Linked DNA regions of Tribolium castaneum. The protein of the gene in region 1 purifies or fractionates together with the protein of each later gene. This does not show direct contact. Links are inferred from orthologs where the notes say so. Each region holds a gene or a part of one and is shown on either strand. Other genes may lie near its edges.

The links. The genes of interacting proteins can lie anywhere in the genome.
Region 2: the proteins of mr (region 1) and anaphase-promoting complex subunit 13 purify together in Homo sapiens (affinity purification with mass spectrometry; 3 studies listed by BioGRID and IntAct, counting the BioPlex papers as one, with this or other methods). This does not show direct contact. The link is inferred for Tribolium castaneum from reciprocal best matches to the Homo sapiens genes ANAPC2 and ANAPC13.
Region 3: the proteins of mr (region 1) and shtd fractionate together in Homo sapiens (co-fractionation; 8 studies listed by BioGRID and IntAct, with this or other methods). This does not show direct contact. The link is inferred for Tribolium castaneum from reciprocal best matches to the Homo sapiens genes ANAPC2 and ANAPC1.

The regions. Positions count from the first base shown.
Region 1 is NC_087394.1:29,189,053-29,193,476, forward strand, and holds the start of mr (anaphase-promoting complex subunit 2), read left to right. Parts: upstream 1-1,510; 5' UTR 1,511-1,605; coding exon 1,606-2,198; intron 2,199-2,245; coding exon 2,246-2,384; intron 2,385-2,430; coding exon 2,431-2,584; intron 2,585-2,630; coding exon 2,631-2,889; intron 2,890-3,083; coding exon 3,084-3,238; intron 3,239-3,751; coding exon 3,752-4,291; intron 4,292-4,340; coding exon 4,341-4,424. UniProt on the Homo sapiens protein: Together with the RING-H2 protein ANAPC11, constitutes the catalytic component of the anaphase promoting complex/cyclosome (APC/C), a cell cycle-regulated E3 ubiquitin ligase that controls progression through mitosis and the G1 phase of the cell cycle.
Region 2 is NC_087396.1:19,126,151-19,128,487, reverse strand, and holds anaphase-promoting complex subunit 13, read left to right. Parts: upstream 1-1,396; 5' UTR 1,397-1,530; intron 1,531-1,621; 5' UTR 1,622-1,623; coding exon 1,624-1,833; downstream 1,834-2,337. Other genes in the region: AN1-type zinc finger protein 1-like, read left to right, coding at 1,833-2,337; uncharacterized protein LOC100142251, read right to left, coding at 218-342, 391-464, 510-605, 651-1,083, 1,138-1,377. UniProt on the Homo sapiens protein: Component of the anaphase promoting complex/cyclosome (APC/C), a cell cycle-regulated E3 ubiquitin ligase that controls progression through mitosis and the G1 phase of the cell cycle.
Region 3 is NC_087397.1:4,714,695-4,718,944, reverse strand, and holds the start of shtd (anaphase-promoting complex subunit 1), read left to right. Parts: upstream 1-1,450; 5' UTR 1,451-1,612; coding exon 1,613-1,636; intron 1,637-1,683; coding exon 1,684-2,044; intron 2,045-2,093; coding exon 2,094-2,498; intron 2,499-2,544; coding exon 2,545-2,837; intron 2,838-2,884; coding exon 2,885-3,033; intron 3,034-3,133; coding exon 3,134-3,337; intron 3,338-3,388; coding exon 3,389-3,578; intron 3,579-3,619; coding exon 3,620-3,780; intron 3,781-3,827; coding exon 3,828-4,225; intron 4,226-4,250. Other genes in the region: Caf1-105 (chromatin assembly factor 1 subunit B), read right to left, coding at 1-96, 212-525, 579-959, 1,007-1,129. UniProt on the Homo sapiens protein: Component of the anaphase promoting complex/cyclosome (APC/C), a cell cycle-regulated E3 ubiquitin ligase that controls progression through mitosis and the G1 phase of the cell cycle.

The DNA.
Region 1 (4,424 bases):
AACAAGTCATTACCAGAAATATTCACTGGAAAAATTCGTCAAATTTAGAAACATTCATACACAGAATTATTTAAAATAGAACAGCATTGATCTAAAAAAATTAATTATGACAAATGTATTTGCCTATAAACGTCTAAAATTATAAAAGTTTCGCATGCAGTCAATGGAAAAATAAAAATGCATGTTTTTATTTAAACAGAAACTGGCAATGTGAAATTTTGGTGCGAAAATTAGTGGTATCGCAATGCGTATAGCAACATTGTTTGTTTGTTTCGTTTTGTTGAAAATTCGGTAGGTTTCAAAAGTAGGGTTATGTTGTCACCCGAAAATGACAAAATTTACACTTTTATGAATTTTGTCTCCATCTCTGCCCTTTCAGAGCGTTATGATAGGATATTTAGGGTCGAAATCTCTACCTTTATTATGTGCTATTGCCAGATAAGGACAAAAGTTCAGAAAGTAGGGTTAGGGTGTATTATGCTCTCTTCTGAAGTGTTAAATTTTAACTTTAATGTTTTTTGTGTGCTTTCCTGCTCTTCTAGAGCGCTATTAATTATTATTGAACATGTTTAAGGACAGACAAATCTACCTTGAGTCAACGACATAAATTTCAGTGAGATTTATTGAAAAATGCACTTCTCGTGTCAACCTTTTCATGAAAAAGGGTGTTTAAACGTTTATAAAGGGTATGTTAACGTGTGTTGTTAACTTTACCACGTAATAAAACATAAAGTATAACTTGGTAATTTTTTACTTTAACTACTTCTGGATTTTCAAGCTGAAACTTACACCAAACGATTCCTCTGAGTGCCCTGATGACCGTACACTATGAATTTTCTTGTGCAAATTGAAAATTACATTAGAAAAATAATTTTTATTTTCACTCACTTTTTACTTGAATCGCCATTTTTGTTGATTTTAATTTGAGTTTATTTTTTATAATATCACGTTAATTTTTATTATTATAGTGGATCAAAGTGTCGTCTTTAGGTTAGACTATTGCCTACTATCGGTTAGGAACAACATGATCTCCAAAAATATAACGTAGTAATGAGCTCCAGAAGGTTTACGTAGATAGGTGCGTTTTTCCCAAAAGTGAGTTTTTTGAGATCGAACCGCAAGTGAGTCACACTGCGAGGAGACTCCCATAGACAGAAGTTGCAAACATAAGGTGCCAGACCGGTGCCAGTTTGGCTGATTGCAAGTATGTCTTTATCATCGATTCGGTGACGACTATTAGTTTCGTAAACTTAATGGATTTAATAAATATCTTTAACATTAAATGTGATCGTGTCATGTTGGGTAAAATTCTTCCATCTGTGCTGTCTGTGGATCCACCTTTTCAAATACAATTAAGAAATTTTCATAATAATTGTATTTGATAAGGTATTGGCATCATTTTGACGTGAGCAAAAATTAAAAAAATATAAAGTAATCGGAATTATTTTAAATTTGCGCCATTTTTAGTACGTGATGATGCGGCTAGATGGCTTCAGCTAGGAATTCATTGCCAACCATTATGTTCCGCTTCTATAAAAGTGTTATTCTAGGAACAGAACCTAAAAGTTTGTCAGTTTTTTACGTTCAGCAATTATTATTTTTACAATGAATAATCAAAACCTGGACTTAAAAAGTGCGTGGATTACGATTAAAGAAGCTTTTCCAATCTTAGAAAGTCCTTCAAAGATCCCTGATAATGATTTCGACTCTGCCCCTTTTGAGGCAATCAGCATTATCAAAAGGCTCAATTTAACACAGCAAATTCAGGATTTGGTCATAATTAAAATAGAAGAACGTTTGAGGAAGGAAATAGTCCCAGATTTTTGGTCCCACTTTAAGAAAACCGAGAACGAGGCGGCAGTTTTTCACGAGTTCTACAGTGTGGTTAAATTTTTGTTTCACAATTATGTGCAGCTCGATTTAATTATTAACAAGTTGATACTGTTGAGAGAAGCAAGCAATTTCACTAAACCAGTGTACAATCAAACTTGCCTGCATGAAGCTTTAAAATTAATCGTTAGGGCCGTCTTGTTATCCCAACTCCCCATTGATCATGAATGGATGATAGTAAATTTTTACGAAACGGCGCTTAAAATGCAGGACCCGGAGGAAGAAAATAGCACAAGTGGGGAGTGTGTTGTGTGCATGCAAGAGGAATTTTCCTGTTCTTGTCGTGAAATGTTTGAAGAAACTAATAAGTAAATAGTTTTGTTTTTTATTTTTTTACTCAAATATTTGTGTCTAGGAAATTGGGCAAGATGACTTTATTGGAACCGTTAGTTGGCCAGGCTCTCACTGATTTAATTTATAGTTACATTCAGACACATATCCAGAAAATCTGTAAAGACAATTTTGATAATTCGCACATTGAGAGTCTAGAAAAGGTAGAAATCAGTCGTTTCTTGAATCGATTATACGAATTATTTTCAGTGGCTTCAAACGGTTGTTATTTCATGGTTGAAAAAAATTTACTTTCATAATTCGGCAGTCAAGGCCATGGATGAGTTTGACAAAAAACTAATCAATTATTTATACAACACTTACACCAAAATACGAATAGATCAGTTATTTAACATCATAATTGGTAAAAATTATTGTTTTTGTGGCAGTCTGTCATCAAATATTTTCAGAATATCCTGATTCTCTTCCGGCCCTTGACGACCTTCGACTATGCCTTCCAAAAACCGACCTAAAACCCCACTTAACTCGGTCGTTGCAAAAAGCAATTGAAACAAGATTATTACATCCAGGAGTAAGCACGTTTGACGTTCTGACGGCTTACGTGGCTACAATTCGGTCATTGCGGATTTTGGACCCCTGTGGACTGCTTCTAGAGACAATTACTCAACCGGTTCATCAGTATTTAAGGAGTCGGGAAGACACAATAAGGTTTAATAATTAAAAAAAAATGGTCTAGTTGGCATATTTGACGTTTAAGTGTCAAATTTTCATAGCTAACTGGAATTTCGGAAAGACAATAAATAGTGTAGTTGGCCTTGAATGACATTTAAGTGTCAAATTTCCACAATTAAGGGGCACTTTGTGTACAATAATTCCGAAATAGGGCGAAATTTTTAATACAGGTGTGTGGTGGGTAGTTTGACTGAAGAGGGCCCAAATGATTTAGCTGAAGAGCTGGTCCGGGGCGAAGCCGTGCAAGTGGACGAGAACATTTCGGTCGATGAGGGGGTTGAAGACTGGGAAACGTGGACCCCAGATCCGGTAGATGTCGTCCCCAGTAAGTGTCTTTTTATCGCTTTGAGGGAAATCGACGTTGGCATTTCCATAGTTTTGAAACAGAGAATAGTCACTTTTGACAAATGATTTTTTCTTCTTACGGTGACAGTTTATTTAAATTTAATAATTCTAGTGCTTAGTCACCAACCAGCAAACTAAATTATAAAAAAATATTTATTTTTGAGTTATTTGTTACAAAAAAATTGTACTTATTAACTTGTTTAGGTGCTAATTTCCTATATTTGCAATTCATGTCCTCCCCTCCTCTCCCCTCGGTCGTGCTGTAAACCACCTGCTTATGTGAAAAATTGCTTTTTTAAACGATTTATTAAATAACGACAACTGATTTTTTCCATTTACATTTTACATGATTATTTATTGTCCTCAAGAAGCCCAAAAAGTTGACGAAACGTAAGCAACAATTATAAACCAAATAAGCTTTGTCTGCCTTCCCAATAATAATTAGACTTATCCCACGTATAATATAAATAACTAATTCCCTCGAAAAATTAAGGCAAATCTTCGGGACTTCCCCGCACTTCTGACATCATCTCAATGCTTGTCAACGTCTACGGCAGTAAGGAGCTGTTCGTCAACGAATACCGCACCTTATTAGCCGATCGTCTTTTGTCGCAATACTCCTGCGACACCGAGAAAGAAATTCGTTATCTTGAACTCCTGAAGTTGCGCTTTGGTGACTCCCAACTCCACTTTTGCGAAGTTATGTTGAAAGATATCGCCGATTCGAAGCGAATCAATCAACATATTCAGCAAGACTTGAGTTATTCAGACGATGATATTCCCATGTCTGCCATGATCCTAAGCGCACAGTTTTGGCCAGCGTTCAAGGACGAGAAGCTTGAACTCCACGAAAAATTGGTGAAACAGATGGAGAGTTACACTGGTGCTTTTGAAACTTTAAAAGGTAGCAGAACCCTGTGTTGGAAAAATCATTTAGGAATTGTGGATCTTGAAATTGAATTGGCGGATAGGACTTTGAATTTGTCGGTTTCACCGGTGCATGCGACGATTTTGATGCACTTCCAAGATCAGAGTGAGTCAAAAAGATCAAGATTTTAAGCGACTTATTTTTTCGTTTCAAGATACTTGGTCTTTGGAAGCTTTGAGTAAAGTAATGCACGTTCCGTCGACAATTTTACGGCGCAAACTGAGTTTCTGGCAATCAC
Region 2 (2,337 bases), on another chromosome or scaffold:
TTAAGCTCAAACAAACTTTTATCAAAAATGCAGCCTTTCATCTAATATTTCCATTTAAAAGCTTAGTAATATTGCCGCAATTTATTTCAAACAATTCAATGTTCTCTGTTGCCATTTCCTATACCTACATGTTTTAGTTTTTTTGGTAGTAATAAACGACCGACCAGTTGCACATATTATTTCAACGTTTTTTGTATTTTTATAAAATAATTACATTACTGCGTCTTGCGACGACGACTTTTCTTCTTTTGCATTATCAGCGAAAGCCTCATTTTGCGTTCAAACATAAACTCAAATGTGCTTTCAACTGACCCTCTTCCGCGATGCATATCATGAGGATTACTGCAATTACAAAAGTTTCAAACCGAATCAAATTCGGCACAGACTTACATAAACCAAGAAGATTTGGCAGCTGGTAAGCCCGTCGCGTGTTTCATTTCCCTCACAGAGGCAGTAAGTGCCATCTGAAAACAAAATTAAAAACGAACACCACTTGCACGCACAAATACTTCTTTGATTTGTTTCCGTCTCTCCCAAATCTTTAGATTTTTCTTCAGCAAGCCCAACTCAGCTTTCTTTTTCACATACTCTAAAACAGAAGGAACCTAAGGTACGATAGCCAAACTCACTTGCTTAATTCGAGCAAGAACCTCGTAATTTTCACTCTTGGTTTTAATTTTATCGTGCTCTTCCTTGGTTGCCTCCAGTTCTTCGGAAACCTTTTCACATTCGTCGTCGATTTTCCGAACCAACTCCTCTTGCATTTTGATTGTGTCTTGATACACTTTTAGATCGGTCACTTTCTTGAGCAGATGCTTCTTCTGATTGCTCAGCAGTAAATTCGCGCGGCCGTTCATTCTTTTCAGTTCGAGAAGCAGCAAATTCCTTTTATCGATTTTCTCCCTCAAGTGCTTATTATCAATTTCGAGCTGCTCAAAATCCACCTCTTGCAAGTGCTCGCCCAGTAACTTCTTCTGCGTTAATTGAGCGCATATTTTCTGGTACTGCACTTTTAGAGAGCTCGTCCTTAGGCGCAGTTTATCAATCGTAGCGCCAGTTTTTTTAAAAGTTTCGTCCATAAACCTGTCCGGCACACCACAGTCTTAAAATTAGTTTTTTAAGTGGGGATGTCTTTACCGACAAAAACGATCCGCTGGATTCTTTTGCGAATACTTTTCTGATAATTCGTTAGTAATAAATGTTCTTTCAAACGTATCTTTGATTTCTTGTATTTCACTTTCGCGAATTGCCATTTCCTCCAACTCTGCTTTCAATTTATGCCTAATAACGTAGCACTTTCTGTTGATTTTATTCAACGCTGCTTGAATATTGTCCATTTCTCGCAGTATCAAATCAGTCTTCTGCGTAATATTGATTCTTAAAATAAATATCAGTAAATTTAAATTCGCGCCAGGCACAGCGTCGCCAATTATTTAGAACAAAACTAAAAGAAACTAGAAAAAACGTTTGGAGGTAAATTTATTTGTGTTCATTTTGGCAATTTGCTGAATCACTGTGCTCCCAAATTTAGTAAGTGCCTTTAACAGCTGTATTCTAAGGCAGAATATTTGTATTTCTTGTTAGGTTTTTTGTGTAAAATTGCCATAACCCCACTTTCTAGGAATGGACAGTTCAGTGACTATTGATGGTTACTTTGTTGATTTAATTGACGATAAGTGGCGTTCCGAGAAGCTGCCTCACGACGATATCAACGTCCCCACGCACGAGCTCGCCGACCCCGAGGCCGACTCCGGAGACATCCACTTAACCCTCCAGGAGCAAGAACAAAAGTGGACCGACATTGCCCTCAGTGCACTAAGCGAACACCAGTGATGGAGCTCCCCAATTTAGGTCAGCAATGCGCCCATTCAAACTGCCAGCAGTTAGATTTTCTCCCTTTACAATGCAAATGCGGCAAACAATTTTGCTCGGAACATTTCAACAAACACGTCCAAGTGTGTGAAACCTCAACGAATGTTGAGGTAGAACCACAAAAAATTCAAAACGTGTTCAAATGCTCGTTCGAAAATTGTCACGAATCTAGTTTGGTCCCTTTGCTTTGCTCCACTTGTCGTAAACATTTCTGTATAAAACACCGGCATATCACCCAGTGTAGCGAGCCAGACGAGGAAACTCTCGCCCAAAAAAGGGAGAAACTGGCTGCGCCTGTGAGGCAGTTCAATGAAGCTAAGAGCGCGGTTGATAAACAAATCGAGCAAAATTTAATCGCGGCGAAAAAGAAGGGTAAAAATTTGGCAAACAAAGTACAACTCATGAAAATTAAAAATAAAGCGAAGGGGTTAAATAGTATTCCAACTTCAGACCGCGTTTACTTCA
Region 3 (4,250 bases), on another chromosome or scaffold:
AGCGGATCAGGTCCGTCTTCATGCAGTTCAAAGAGAATTGGGCAGAAACGGACAACTGTACTGCACTGTTTTCCAGATGGAAACAAACAAATTGGACTGAAAAAAAATTAACTAATTAATGAAGCCGATTAATAATTTTTATTCTGGCGTGTAAATTTGAAATAATACAAAATTAACTTTAACAGCTCAATAAAATTACGCTATTACTTACCTTCCCCAGTTATCTACTGCAAAAAGCAAGGTACAGTTGAGAATTTTTTTACAATCCTCGATTTCAATGCGACCTGAAGGAACAGCCAGGAGAGAACCATCAGGTGAAAAATCTAAGCGTCTGAAAAATGACTTGAACGTGTCATCATGAAAATATTTCACTTCTTTGTTGTGAAGATAATGATCTTCCGGCACCGGTAATAGACCCTTGTGCATTCTAGCCTTCACCTGTTTACCGGTATTTTCAAAAATGCGGCAGATGCGGTCGGTACTGATTGTGGCCAAAAACTGACCTCTGGGATCCCACGACACGCCCTTCAAATTTCGAAAAATTACAAACACTATATTTTTATTTAGCAATAATTTACTTGGACAAATCCCTTGTGGTCGGTTAAAATCTGTTCATTTTTGCCTTTCTGAAAATCCCACAAAATGGCAGTGTTGTCTATAGACCCCGATAGAAGTTTTGAGCCATCGGGTGACCAACACAAGTCGTAAATGTCTTCCTTGTGCCCCCGCATTACTTTATGCACTATCCATGTCTCTTTATCGTTCGTTTCTCCTTCCAGTAGAGGGATATTATCGGTTTTAAGTTGCCAAATAATGATATTTGCGTCGTCATCAGCTGTCGCGAGCTGCTGCCCCCCTGGTGACCACCGAACTGAATTCACAGCTCTTTGGTGTCGTGTTAGATCAGACAAAGCCTCGATTTTAACACTACCGTTTTCGTTTATTGTTAATTGCCAAATCTGAAGCACAGCGTCACAAGACTTAATTTTTTTAAACCGAAGCTTACCAAAACATGACAATCGGCACCACCAGTTGCTAACCTATAAAATTTCTCCAAAACGGGTTGAATATGAACACTCAAGACGGGCTCCCGGTTGTGCCATGATATTTCTGGTATCGAACACTTCATTCTACGTTTAGCGGCTTAAATTGTGAAATACGAATAGTAGCAGACACAAACAAGGCGTTTTTTACACAAAACAACAACCCAATAAAAATATTACGACCATTTGGCGCCAATTTACTAGTCTCCTCGTTGGGGATTTTGTTTTTACAAATGTAATTTTTTTGTATAAAAATGAGCAATTCTATTGAATGAATTGAATTAAATTACAAACCTTTTCGTGAACGAATATAAATTAACACAAATTAATAAAAAATTAAGCAAATACTCTATTTAACAATTAAATACTCAAGTAAAGTCTGTAAATTCTAGTAAATTTAGGTTTCTTTCATTTAGATTGCCAGCGCTGTCTGTTAAGTTTGTGAAGGTTAGAGGAGCCGATTCGGTTTAAAAAAAGCGTTTTTTAATGAAAAATAGTCGTGATTTATGTTGGTTACCATTCTGATTCATTATTGAAATTTAGCAAATCTGGATGAGAAAGTAGAAACAATGATTGCTGCCTCAGATCCACAGGTTCGTGGGTGCTCTCACTCAGTCAATATTTTGCGTAAACTTTTCAGGAGTTTGTTCCAAGTGGACGGCAGCAAACATTGAAACACCCAGGCCCCAATGGGGTGCCCCCGCAAAAAAATTTAGGCCAAACTGAGGACCTACTCCTTGATAAATTTGAAAAGGTTTCAATAAAAGAGAAAAAAGACAGTGAATGGTGGATTTTGCGGAAAACCCCCTTGTTTGAGTCTGCGGCAAGTTGGTGCTACGGGACAAAAGACAGTTCTTGTACTAAAGTTAGTGTGAATCAGGACTGTAAAAATGACAAGTCTTACAGCTATCAAAGCTGCGATCATTCACAAAAGACTAGCAAGAGAATATCTGAGAGTTTTTCGAAATTTTCACTCAAGCATGAAAGCTTGGCTCATGGGGGTACGTGGGACCAATTTTTTGCATTTTTATTTTTTTTTTGATTCCCAAGGGCCAAGCTATGAGGGTTCTTTTGCCAAAAGTCACGTCAGTTTTATGGAGGATGAACTCTATGTCAAGGGACACACGGCAGTGTGGTCCCGAGGGCTAAACAATTGTGACAATTTAGACAACGGTAGAAAAACAATTTGTGCTTACACTTCCCTTCTCCCTATAAAACACGCCGCTTGGTGCACTTTCCACTGCGAGCACCCCAGATATGAAACCGACGCTTTTCCTTTTTCTAACAAAGAAGAGGAAACTAAAGGCGTGCCGGTTCCTGCAATTTGCATCATAAATGCCCATAATATTCACGTTTTCACCCAAAAAGGTGAAGATTTCGTCACTGCTATCCCGTTCCAAATTAGCAAAATGTGGAATACGAAGTACGGAATTTTTCTCGAACGGGAAAACGAAGGTTTGCATTTTGCATTTTTTTTCATTTATTAACGCAATCTTTAAAGGCCACAATTCTACAACGTATTTTGAAAACAGAGCTTCGCTCTATTCCTTAGCTTTTCCCTTTGATGAGGTCTGTCCTGTTGCAATAAATGTTGGCACACATATCCAAGTCCTGAATAATAATAGTTTTAAATTGGTTTACACCAGCGAAAATCCAAGCATTTGTATGATTTACGATACTCAAACCAGGCAACACAGTGTTTACGTTATTAGAAAAGTAACAATCAACGAAAAGGTAGAGTTTGCAAACAGGATGAACAGCACTTTCCCTTCAGCCACCAGTTTATCTAACAGGGTAAAAGAGATTAAAAGTCGCACACTTGCGATAATTAATAATTACAGTTGAAAAGTCGTCTTTCAATGTGGGATTGCGGAAAAAACTCGAATTATTTAAGCGTCCCCAGCCCTATCAATAGCCGGCCAGGAAGCGTAGCAAGTTTTTATAACCAAATGCACCACTCGAAATCGCACAGCTCAATGGCCACAATCAGGTTGACCCATTTTTCCAAATTTTATAATACGAACTAATTATAGCAAGTTAATCGGTTTTGTTACTGAATTATACTAAAAGTGTAATTTGGGTCTTTATAGTCGATGCCAGTCACCTGCCACTTCCTCTATCGGAAGTCCGTGGTTGCAGAGAGCTTCGCGTTTGAACACTTCTATTCCAAGTGGGCCCAGTTATTGTGCACCAAACAACTGTTCGTTTTTCGACTGTTCTAAACTGATGTCTTACCTGCACACAAACCCTCTTATTTGTTTGGACCACCTATGGACTGATCCGAATTTGACTCAGTAAAGTTTTTTTTATTTAAAAAATATTCAATGATCAAGTGATTATTGTAGAGATGATAACATGTCGAGTGCCACATCTAAAGTATTTTTGTGCGACGACTTGACACACCAGTGGTACCTTTGCTACATTTTACCAGTGAAGTGCCAGTTGTGTTTAGTCCAAATCGACTTTACAGACCCGAGTAACATTCGCTTTGGAATGGTTAACAGTTTGAGTGTCAAAGACGCAGTGCCTATTCCTGTGAGTATCACACATTGAATTTTTTCCTAATTGTAATTAAGATGTGCCACATGTTGGCCGTCCTGGAACACAACGGCAACGTCAGCCTCTACTCTGGCCTTACCCTAGTGGGGAAGCTGCACATAGGGGGCACCCTCGTCCAGCACACCCCCTCGCCCTACGTCCGTCGCAACCTGGCTCAGTTTAACTCACCTTTCCCGAGGTATTTCCCAATTAAAACCTCCAAACCGCTCAACTTTGCCATTCCAGACGGAGCAGTCTTTTGCCCCATTGCAAACAACTAGACCCCAAGTTTGACGACCATTTGCTATCACCGGTGTTACCCGAGACAACAAACGTGTCTAACATCCTCCAGCTGAACTTCCAGCACGAAAGCAATTTGCCCAAAGCTGTCCTGAACGGTTTACGTGACCCGATCGAAAACCGCATCACTTTACGATACTCTGATGGCACTTACTACAGAATCACTCTGCCCCCCTTGACTGCACACCCACTAATTGAAAATTGTGTAATGGCGTTAAAGCAGTGTCTAAACCGTGACACCATTTCGGTGGTTTTGACCAGATGGTACGCCACTCGGAACGCACCAGGGGCCCAAGACATGAATCTCGAGCAAGAATGGAATGCGTTTGAAACGCTGCTTTTAGGTAATTTGGTTTCGTTCTAAATCGT